Linked DNA regions of Oryzias latipes. The protein of the gene in region 2 binds, or shares a complex with, the protein of the main gene of each other region. Links are inferred from orthologs where the notes say so. Each region holds a gene or a part of one and is shown on either strand. Other genes may lie near its edges.

What was found.
Region 1: tubgcp4 (region 2) and nme7 share a complex: the UniProt entries of both Homo sapiens proteins name them as parts of the gamma-tubulin ring complex. The link is inferred for Oryzias latipes from reciprocal best matches to the Homo sapiens genes TUBGCP4 and NME7.
Region 3: tubgcp4 (region 2) and tubgcp2 share a complex: the UniProt entries of both Homo sapiens proteins name them as parts of the gamma-tubulin ring complex. The link is inferred for Oryzias latipes from reciprocal best matches to the Homo sapiens genes TUBGCP4 and TUBGCP2.

Annotation. Positions count from the first base shown.
Region 1 is NC_019862.2:27,538,141-27,541,640, reverse strand, and holds part of nme7 (nucleoside diphosphate kinase 7), read left to right. Parts: intron 1-1,320; coding exon 1,321-1,431; intron 1,432-3,500. UniProt on the Homo sapiens protein: Possesses an intrinsic kinase activity. Displays 3'-5' exonuclease activity with a preference for single-stranded DNA. Does not seem to have nucleoside diphosphate kinase activity.
Region 2 is NC_019861.2:4,196,712-4,200,809, reverse strand, and holds the start of tubgcp4 (gamma-tubulin complex component 4), read left to right. Parts: upstream 1-1,298; 5' UTR 1,299-1,385; coding exon 1,386-1,463; intron 1,464-1,915; coding exon 1,916-2,044; intron 2,045-4,098. Other genes in the region: protein CDKN2AIP homolog B-like, read right to left, coding at 513-766. UniProt on the Homo sapiens protein: Component of the gamma-tubulin ring complex (gTuRC) which mediates microtubule nucleation.
Region 3 is NC_019877.2:19,482,281-19,485,780, forward strand, and holds part of tubgcp2 (gamma-tubulin complex component 2), read left to right. Parts: coding exon 1-8; intron 9-151; coding exon 152-311; intron 312-379; coding exon 380-587; intron 588-1,016; coding exon 1,017-1,216; intron 1,217-3,268; coding exon 3,269-3,458; intron 3,459-3,500. UniProt on the Homo sapiens protein: Component of the gamma-tubulin ring complex (gTuRC) which mediates microtubule nucleation.

The DNA of each region.
Region 1 (3,500 bases), on a different chromosome or scaffold from region 2:
GCAGCCGATCACCTTCTCTGCTGAGCGCACAATACGCTGTAGCCTGTTAATGTCCCTGGTTGTGGCACTAGTGTACCACACGGTGATGGAGGAGGTGAGGATGGACTCAATGATGGCCGTGTAGAACTGCACCATCATCTGGGCCGGCAGCCGGGCTTTCTTCAACTGCCGCAGGAAGTACATCCTCTGCTGGGCCTTTTTGAGGAGAGAGCAGATGGATGGCTCCCACTTGAGGTCCTGCGTGATGGTGGTGCAGAGGAAACGCACAGAGTCCACTAGGTTGATAGGAGAGTCTGACAGGGTGAGAGGGGGTGAGGGGGGTGTGACTCTCCTGAAGTCCACGATCATCTCCACTGTCTTCTGGGTGTTCAGCTCCAGGTTGTTGATGCTGCACCACGACCCCAGCCAGTCCACCTCCCTCCTATAGGCAGACTCATCATCATTAGAGATGAGTCCGATGAGGGTGGTGTCATCTGCAAACTTGATCAGTTTGACAGAGTCATGGCTGGAGGTGCAGCAGTTAGTGTACAGGGAGAAGAGCAGAGGGGAAAGTACACAGCCCTGTGGAGTTCCTGTGCTGATGCATTGGGTGGTGGAGACATTCTTCCCCAGCCGCACACACTGCCTCCGGTCCATTAGGAAGTCAGTGATCCACCTGCAGGTGGAGTCAGGCACGTTGAGCTGGAGGAGCTTTTCCTGGAGCAGAGAGGGGAGGATGGTATTGAACGCAGAGCTGAAGTCCACGAACAGAATCCTAGCATAGGTTCCCGGGGAGTCCAGGTGCTGCAGGATGAAGTGTAGGGCCTGGTTGATGGCATCGTCTACAGACCTATTGGCTCTGTAGGCGAACTGCAGAGGGTCCAGGAGGGGGGAGGTGAAGGATTTGAGGTGGGGGAGGACCAGACGCTCGAATGACTTCATGACTACAGACGTGAGTGCCACAGGCCTGTAGTCATTGAGGCCAGTTATGCGGGGGTTCTTGGGGACAGGGGGACAAAAAATGTGTTTAGCGGACCAAAGGTATTGTCATACGCATGGATATAGTTTACTGTAAAAGGCTTAAGCATAGCGAGATGTCGGCCCTTTAAAAGCTGCACATACCAGTGTTGTGGTGGCAGCATTATGGCGAGGGTTCAAAGCTAATGGAAGGATTAAAACACGCAAATCAGAAAGGTGAACATCATCTCCACAGGACGCTGAAGTAAAGTTATGTCAAAGGTTTCTTTCATCTTTCCCCTCATTTTGTGAGTTCTTGAAGAAGACTATGTGACGGTGCTGTGATGTTTTCTCTGAAGCTGTTTTCTGTCTCCGTCTGTGCAGAACTCTCGCTCTGATAAAGCCAGATGTTGTGACTAAGATCGGGGATGTGATGGAATTGGTTTACTCCTCCAACCTGATCGTGACCAAAGCTAAGATGACCAGACTTTCATGGTGAGATCACGATGACCCTCCAGATGTGCTGGAGCAACCTGTCAGACATTTACTGACATGATTCTTTGGATGTAGAAAAACAACAGTGGACTGAACTTTAGGAAACTAAAATGTGAATGGATTTGACATTCATTCTGTTTACTTGTTTGTTTGTACACATATTTCATTTACACTTGATTATCTTGCAAGAAATACAAGGAATCTGGAAAACGTCACCTGAACTTTTCAGTACCAGGTATTTATCTATGAGTCACACTGGTTGAATATGTTCTGGATCCGTTTTGGGTCAGTGAATCGGTTCCAATCGGATTCTTTCAAAATGAACCTGTCATGATTTGATTTTGTTGTCTTGTTTTTGGTCCTTGTTCTGTCTTGTTTCTGTTTCCTGTTTTATTTTGAAAGTCTCCTGTCTTGTCTGGTTTCTTGAGTTTTACTTCCTTTGGTTCCCATTCAGCCCTGATCGTGTCCACCTGTGTCTTGTCTGCCCTGTCTGTATATAAGTCTTGTCCCTGCCTTCCTCCTGTGTTGGTCCAGTACCCCTGTTATGGTGTTCATGCCTTGTTCCTTGTCCCTCGCCATGCCACAGTAAGTTTTAGTTTTGTTTTGTCATCCTGCTCTGCAGCGCTTTTTGTTACTATTAAACCCCTTGCCCTTGAACCACGTGCCCCTGCCTCTGCATTCTGGGTCCTACCGGCTCTCGAGCCCCCCTGCACCTTGACAGAATGGACCAACCAAATTTTCTGGACCCAGCAGAGCAGGACTAAACTGGGAGCCGTCTCGCCATGAGGGGGGGTCGACGTCGCCGTCGTCCCCGCCGTCCCCCACAGTCACGTTCAGTGGTGGTCCGGGATGCACCACAGCCACGTTCAGTGGTGGTCCCGGATGCACCACAACCTCCCCCAGTGGTGGTCCCGGACGCACCACAGCCATGTCCAGTGGTGGTCCCGGACGCACCCCAACCCGTCCCGGCTCCCAGGGGGGTGCCGCCTGCACCCCGACCCATCCCAGCTCCCAGGGGGGTGCCGCCTGCGCCCCGACCCGTCCCGGCTCCCAGGGGGGTGCCGCCTGCGCCCCGATGGGTCCCCGGTTCCACTGCCACGCCTGACCCGCCTGAGCTCGGCTCCACGCCTGACCCGCCTGAGCTCGGCTCCACGCCTGACCCGCCTGAGCTCGGCTCCACGCCTGACCCGCCAGAGCTTGACTGCTGGCCCGACCCACCGGAGCCTGACTGCTGGCCCGACCCGCCGGAGCCTGACTGCTGGCCCGACCCGCCGGAGCCTGACTGCTGGCCCGACCCGCCGGAGCCTGACTGCTGGCCCGACCCGCCGGAGCCTGACTGCTGGCCCGACCCGCCGGAGCCTGACTGCTGGCCCGACCCGCCGGAGCCTGACTGCTGGCCCGACCCGCCGGAGCCTGACTGCTGGCCCGACCCGCCGGAGCCTGACTGCTGGCCCGACCCGCCGGAGCCTGACTCCATGCCTGACTCCATGCCTGACTCCATGCCTGACTCCACGCCTGACTCCACGCCTGACTCCACGCCTGACTCCACGCCTGACTCCACGCCTGACTCCACGCCTGACTCCACGCCTGACTCCACGCCTGACTCCACGCCTGACTCCACGCCTGACTCCACGCCTGACTCCACGCCTGACTCCACCACGCCTGACGACTCCACCACGCCTGACGACTCCCCCACGCCTGACGACTCCACCACGCCTGACGACTCCACCACGTCTGACGACTCCACCACGCCTGACGACTCCACCACGCCTGACCTGCCTCGCCGGACCGCACGGCCCCCCGGCCGTCCTCCGGACCTGCCTCGCCGGACCGCTCGGCCCCCGGCCGTCCTCCGGACCTGCCTCGCCGGACGGCGCGGACCCCCGGCCGTTCTCCGGACTCTTGTGCCCGTCGAGGTTTATCCTCCGGGGCCCCCCCCTCATGTGACTTTTGGAACCTCGGAGCGGTTCCTTGAGGGGGGGGTACTGTCATGATTTGATTTTGTTGTCTTGTTTTTGGTCCTTGTTCTGTCTTGTTTCTGTTTCCTGTTTTATTTTGAAAGTCTCCTG
Region 2 (4,098 bases):
TTCTTTTAAGGCACTCAAACGCTTAGCCACGTGTTTAACCTTTGTGCTCTCCTAGGCACTTTAACGTTGGGAGTTGGGTCATCTAGACCCACTAGACAGTGTTCTGAACCTTTTTTCTTCAATGATTTGTGATCTTCACTGGTGTCCATGGATTACATGAAATCTTTCCACCTTTATCCACCTTTGTCATGGTAGGGAGAACACGTCAATGTTGGGGGGGGGGGGGGGGTCATCTAAGATAGCACAAGGGTTAATATGAAATGATGGAGTACCACCTCTGTTTCCATGACAACACTGACTCCTGCAGCTCAAACTAAACTCTGAGCACCAAAGATCATCTAAGCACTGCTCATCTACTCGATGTGAACCCACTCCATTCGTCAGAGTGTTGGTACGTTAACAGACCACTTCTTGCAGCTTCCCCTGGCGGGTCACCGCTGACCCCGGCGACGGGTCACTGCTGACCCCGGTGACAGGGACAGCCCTGGCCAAAGTTCGTTTGAGAGTCGCACCTGCAGCCCAGAAAGACGTGGTTGGCCCAGACCATGGACAGGGACAGCAGGCTGTCCAGGCTGGGGCTGTGGGCTCCGGGCTGCGCGGCGGGGACCCCCTGCCCCTCCATGTTCCGCAGGATGAACTCCCTCCGCGCGGACCACTGCTTGCTGGTCTCACAGAAGCCCCTCAGAGAGTCCACCCACCCCGCCAAATGCGGGTTCTGCTGCAGGTACTCCGAGACCGGGTCGTCTCCGCCCCTCTGCGCCGCCATCCACGTCCACGAACCCTCGCCGCTCAGAGCCTCGCAAACCTGATCCAGGTGAGACCGGAGGGAGCTCCCGGTGGCCTACATGGATGGACACGGACTTTGGACACTTTCCGCCCGGCTGGCGAGTTAAACACGAACTCTTCTCTAAAACGCGCCTGACTGGTTTAAACTCGGCTCAGCTCGACCCTCCTCCTCTGAATTCCGGTTTAGAAGCGGGCTAAATGTGGGTCAAACCGAGCTTTAAACTTGGCCCGGAGCCTCTGAACTGCTCCACTCTGAACCCGCTGCTAGCTGCTGTACCTCCGGGTGATGACGTCAGACCCGCGACAGCATTTCTTCAACTACATTTCCCAAAACAACAACAAAAAACTAAATTTCCCGTTAGTCTGATTTAATTACATTTATTCATCATTTCAAATGACACTTCCAACAATTATGTGCTACGGATTTACGTTTAATTCCTACGTTACTTTTAATATTATTTCCAGAAATAAGAACACGCAAAAACTATAACGTACTGCGCATGCGTTCATGTTGATGACGTAGGCTTCGACCGGAAGGCGGGTTTGTTTTGCCGAATGAAAGAGGTCCAGCCCAGTGTCGGGGTCGTAGGGTAAATACAATGATTCACGAGCTCTTACTGGCGCTGAGCGGGTACCCCGGCACCATCTTTACCTGGAACAAGAGGACGGGTCTGCAGGTAAACGGAAGTCACGTGTCCGACTCGAAACGTGATCATTATATTCCTTTAGCCGCAACCTGCAGACCAGTCAAATGCTGCATCGAGCACCGCAGACCCCCTACCTGGACCCCCCCACCCCTGAACTCCCTCCCCATGCCCGCAGCCCCTCCCTCCTGTGCAGCAGCTGGTGGTCCCTGCAGCAGAAGCTCCATCATGGAGGAAGGAAGCATCTCCTTAGGGAACCACGTCTGCTGACATCTTCATGTTTCTTTGCTACAGATTATTTACGGCTAATCAGAGTCATTCTAAAATACCGCTCATTCCCAGTCCCGATCATTGATCCAGATTCATGAAATGACTACATGCTTTGTGTGAAGTTAGAATCTTGTGTTGTGCAGGAGTTGGTTAACTGTATGGATGTGAAAAGCTGCCGGTCTCTGTCAGAATGAAACATTAATGCTGATGTGCAGGTGTCCCAGGAGCTGCCCTTTCTTCACCCCAGCGAGGCCAGCGTCCTGAACCGGATCTGCAAACTGGGCTCAGATTATATCCGCTTCACAGAGTTCATAGAGCAGCACACGGGACATGTCCACCAGCAGGTGAGTCTGTGTTCAGCAGCAGGTCAGTCTGGTCTCAGGCTCTGGTCTCAGGCTCTGGTCTCTGGTCTCAGGCTCTGGTCTCAGCCTCTGGTCTCAGGCTCTGGTCTCAGGCTCTGGTCTCTGGTCTCAGGCTCTGGTCTCTGGTCTCAGGCTCTGGTCTCAGGCTCTGGGCTCAGCCTCTGGTCTCAGGCTCTGGTTTTGTATACTCTGGTCTCAGGCTCTGGTCTCAGGCTCTGGTCTCAGGCTCTGGTCTCAGGCTCTGGTCTCTGGTCTCAGGCTCTGGTCTCTGGTCTCAGGCTCTGGTCTCTGGTCTCAGGCTCTGGTCTCAGGCTCTGGTCTCAGGCTCTGGTCTCAGGCTCTGGTCTCAGGCTCTGGGCTCAGGCTCTGGGCTCAGGCTCTGGTCTCAGGCTCTGGTCTCAGAGTCTGGTTTTGTATACTCTGGTCTCAGGCTCTGGTCTCTGGTCTCAGGCTCTGGTCTCTGGTCTCAGGCTCTGGGCTCAGGCTCTGGGCTCAGGCTCTGGGCTCAGGCTCTGGTCTCAGGCTCTGGTCTCTGGTGTCAGGCTCTGGTCTCAGGCTCTGGTCTCAGGCTCTGGTCTCAGAGTCTGGTTTTGTATACTCTGGTCTCAGGTCTCAGGCTCTGGTCTCAGGCTCTGGTCTCAGGCTCTGGGCTCAGGCTCTGGTCTCAGGCTCTGGGCTCAGGCTCTGGTCTCTGGTCTCAGGCTCTGGTCTCTGGTCTCAGGCTCTGGGCTCTGGTCTCAGGCTCTGGTCTCAGGCTCTGGTCTCAGGCTCTGGGCTCAGGCTCTGGTCTCAGGCTCTGGGCTCAGGCTCTGGTCTCTGGTCTCAGGCTCTGGTCTCAGGCTCTGGGCTCTGGTCTCAGGCTCTGGGCTCAGGCTCTGGTCTCAGGCTCTGGTCTCAGGCTCTGGTCTCAGGCTCTGGGCTCTGGGCTCAGGCTCTGGTCTCAGGCTCTGGGCTCAGGCTCTGGTCTCAGGCTCTGGTCTCAGGCTCTGGTCTCAGGCTCTGGGCTCAGGCTCTGGTCTCAGGCTCTGGTCTCAGGCTCTGGGCTCAGGCTCTGGGCTCAGGCTCTGGTCTCAGGCTCTGGTCTCAGGCTCTGGTCTCTGGTCTCAGGCTCTGGGCTCAGGCTCTGGTCTCAGGCTCTGGTCTCAGGCTCTGGTCTCAGGCTCTGGTCTCTGGTCTCAGGCTCTGGTCTCAGGCTCTGGTCTCAGGCTCTGGTCTCAGGCTCTGGTCTCTGGTCTCAGGCTCTGGTCTCTGGTCTCAGGCTCTGGGCTCAGGCTCTGGTCTCAGGCTCTGGTCTCAGGCTCTGGGCTCAGGCTCGGGGCTCAGGCTCGGGGCTCAGGCTCTGGTCTCAGGCTCTGGTCTCAGAGTCTGGTTTTGTATACTCTGGTCTCAGGCTCTGGTCTCTGGTCTCAGGCTCTGGTCTCTGGTCTCAGGCTCTGGGCTCAGGCTCTGGGCTCAGGCTCTGGGCTCAGGCTCTGGTCTCTGGTCTCAGGCTCTGGTCTCTGGTCTCAGGCTCTGGGCTCTGGTCTCAGGCTCTGGTCTCAGGCTCTGGTCTCAGGCTCTGGTCTCAGAGTCTGGTTTTGTATACTCTGGTCTCAGGTCTCAGGCTCTGGTCTCAGGCTCTGGTCTCAGGCTCTGGGCTCAGGCTCTGGGCTCAGGCTCTGGTCTCTGGTCTCAGGCTCTGGTCTCTGGTCTCAGGCTCTGGGCTCTGGTCTCAGGCTCTGGTCTCAGGCTCTGGTCTCAGGCTCTGGGCTCAGGCTCTGGTCTCAGGCTCTGGGCTCAGGCTCTGGTCTCTGGTCTCAGGCTCTGGTCTCAGGCTCTGGGCTCAGGCTCTGGTCTCAGGCTCTGGTCTCAGGCTCTGGTCTCAGGCTCTGGTCTCAGGCTCTGGGCTCAGGCTCTGGTCTCAGGCTCTGGGCTCAGGCTCTGGTCTCTGGTCTCAGGCTCTGGTCTCTGGTCTCAGGCTCTGGGCTCTGGTCTCAGGCTCTGGTCTCAGGCTCTGGTCTCAGGCTCTGGGCTCAGGCTCTGGTCTCAGGCTCTGG
Region 3 (3,500 bases), on a different chromosome or scaffold from region 2:
CCCCACTGGTGAAGAGTTTTCAATTTTCTTACAGCATGCCTGAAATATGTATACATGGAAAAAAAGATTGACTCTCCCATTTTCTTTCAGTCTTTTTAAAATAAGTCTGTATTTTGGTAAATGCTGCTGTTGCTCATCATTGTTTCTGCAGCCCGCTGAAGTCACCAGGAAGATGTTGAGAGACAAACACAACAAGAAGAACCCCACGCAACCAAACCCTGTGTTCCCTAATTGGGTGTATGACCGTCCAGCCCTCATTGGAGACTTCATCACAAGCCCCACTGCAGCTGGAGACCTGACTGTAGCTGTTGGTAAGAGTGCCGTTCTGCTCAGACCTCTGATTCCGGTTTCACTTTTAATCCTTTCATTGTCCGTTCAGGTACGCTGCCTCTGGCGACCCAGGAGCAGGCCCTGGTGGAGGATCTGCTCTTTGTTCTGGTTGGAGTTGATGGGCGGGACATCACAGCTCAGCCCGTCCTGGGGAGGCAGAACCGCTCTTTCATCGTTGATGCGACACTGGACATGTCCGTGAAGGAGCTGGTGAACAGAATCCTTCCTGTTGCATCGTATTACTCCACTATAACTCGGTAAACGCTGGTTTCAGTTCACCTCTTCTCACTGAAAAACAGTCAAATTCTGCTTTCCTGGACAATCCTTTAGATTTGATCTCTGCTTTTTGGGCCACGTTTGAGACAAACTTCTGTTGGAATATTGAATAACAAAAATAAACTCATTTTTGACATACAAACCTTGAAAAGTTAATTTAATAATGGATAAATATTATTCTAACAAGTTTAAAATGTAAAAAGAGATCTAAAACCCAAATAAATTCCAATCAGACCAGAGAAAATTGAAATGATAAATGGCAGAAAACCATACAATCATTTGCTATCTTTAGGACAGTCACTCTTTTATTTTAAAATGATGATTTTAATTCTAGAAAATCTTCTTAATGAAAATTTAGACGTTAATATTTCTGTGAACGTTATTGTCAAATGGTTTTAAACCTTTTGCAGGTTCATCGAAGAGAAGTCCTCCTTTGAGTACGGCCAGGTGAACCACGCTCTGACGGCAGCGATGAGGACCCTGATGAAGGAGTACCTCATCTTGGTCACTCAACTGGAGCACCTGCAGCGGCAGGGCCTGCTGTCCCTGCAGAAGCTTTGGTTCTACATCCAGCCCACCATGAGGACCATGGAGATCTTGGCGTCCATTGGTGAGAGGCTGACTGGGAATGTCCAGACTTTAAAGTCCCACTTCTGTCATCTTTTGATCTATTTTAATGAAAGTGTTCCCGGAGGTCCTTTACTACGATTATATAGTTTTTAGCCAAAATCCAAAAGTCTGTGTCGTTTTTTAAGACATTAAATAAAGAAAATTAAGATAAAACATCGTTAGAGTATTTCTCTATTGTGTTGACTCAGGAGCAGACGAAAAAATGCTGTTTAAAAAAGCTTGTAGTTGTGACGTACAAACTACAGTCGACAGGTCACAAGCTCCCTGCTCTGCTCCATTCCGATGCATCCACTTACAGACAAACAGATTCATGAACGTCTTCGTTTTCCTCGTCAGAGCTGGAATCTGGATCTAAATTGTACGGCTGGATAGCTCTGACATTGCTCGCCATTTTTGTTTGCATCTGTGATTGCTCGGGTTCTGAGGGGCTGTAAGGTAGCACGAGAGAGTGTGGACAGAGGACTAATGGAAAATGAATGCAAGCTTACTGCGCACCACTGGTCTTCCCAACTCAGAGGAGAGTTTCTGATGAACTCCTGCCGCTCTGCAGAAACTAGAAAAACAACACCTATTTTTTTTTATTTTGGCCAAAAGCAGCATAAATATAGTGAACACTTTGAAAATAGATCAAAAGATGATCGAAGTGCAATCCAATTTTCTTTAATTTACTTAACAGGGGAATTTTCTTTTTTCTCATGCTGTGGAAGTTTTAATCTTTTTACAAGGATTCTTATAATTAGTAAAAGATGCAGTTGCATTTTTTACCATTTCATTGTCTTGCATTTACTTTTTTTTAAGTAAGTTTCAGCCTTTAAGCCACAGTCTTTTTAAATTAAATTAAATTAAATTAAATTTTTAAATCAGAAAATCGTGGCACTAAAATAGGTTTTAATTTATTGCAGGTATGTTACCTCAGTGAGCACTTTGCAAGCTGTAGCGAACTTTACTTAAACCTTAATGATTTAGCTGCTGTTTACATTTACAAAGGATATTTGTGGACTTGAAAAGTCACAATCCTGTTTGATTTGTGCTCAGTGTACCAGTTTTTTTCTAATACTTTTAGCCAACCATGCAATAAAAAAATACCTATTTAGTGACCGTGAAAGTACGGGCGTGCTTTACTTTCAAATAAAGTTTGTACTCATTCAGATGTGTGCAAATGTTGTAAAAGTCCTTAATAGTTGCCCTTTGTGTAAGTGTAATCTACACTGACAGCCGATCCCTCAACACTGTTGTATCTTTAGTTAAGTTTGAGGTTCTTCTTGCAGAAGCAGCTTCTCATTTGAACCACCAGGGGGAGCTTTGAGTCAGTTTTCTTCCAAATTTTATTTAGGAAAATTGAGAAAGTTATAAAACCGTACATTTAAATTCACTTAGGTCCAATTTTGGACCCATGACTTATATCTCCATTCTCAACATTTCTTTTCTTTTTTCCATAACATAACTTGGTGTCTAACAAAACACAAAACAGGGAACAGCGGATGCATTATGAGGGAAAGAAGTAAACAAAAAACACACTAAAACATTCAACTTGATTATAATTACAAGCCAGACATTCATTACTTCCATTTGTTGTAAGTGATTAACATAGAATATCCATTGTGGGCATCTGTTTCCGAAGTGAATAGGTTAGTCTTTCTATCTGGCAGATTTCATTTACAATGTCTATCCAATTGTCCAAGCTGGGTACAGTGGGGAGGAGCCAGTGTCTAGTCACTGCTTTTTATTACCAGTGGGTATTAATATTCTGAATAAAATTTTCATTGGTAGGTGGGAGTTGTGTCTTACAGACTGATAAAATCACAGGGTATTGTCTTATTTGATATATATTCAATATGTTTATGTATTTCCTTCCAAAAAATTTTTATAATGGGACAATCCCAAAATATGTGGTAATGGTCGGCTTCTACTTCTCCCCACTGTTTGAGTCAATTTTCACAACCTCTGTGGTCTCTGGATTTTCTGAATTATAGATAAAGCAGGACAGAAAACAGGAATACAGACGGGTTTATTGAAATCTGCTGTTTTCCAGCCTCCTCTGTGGACAAAGGAGAGTGCATGGGCGGAGCAACGCTTAGCCTTCTGCATGACCGGACCTTCAACTACACAGGTGACAGCCAGGCGCAGGAGCTGTGCCTCTACCTCACTAAAGCCGCCAGCGTGCCGTACTTTGAAATTTTGGAGAAGTGGATTTACAGAGGCATCATCAAGGATCCGTACAGGTCTGCATTCAGAGGGGAGACAAAAAATCCTGATAAGGGGTT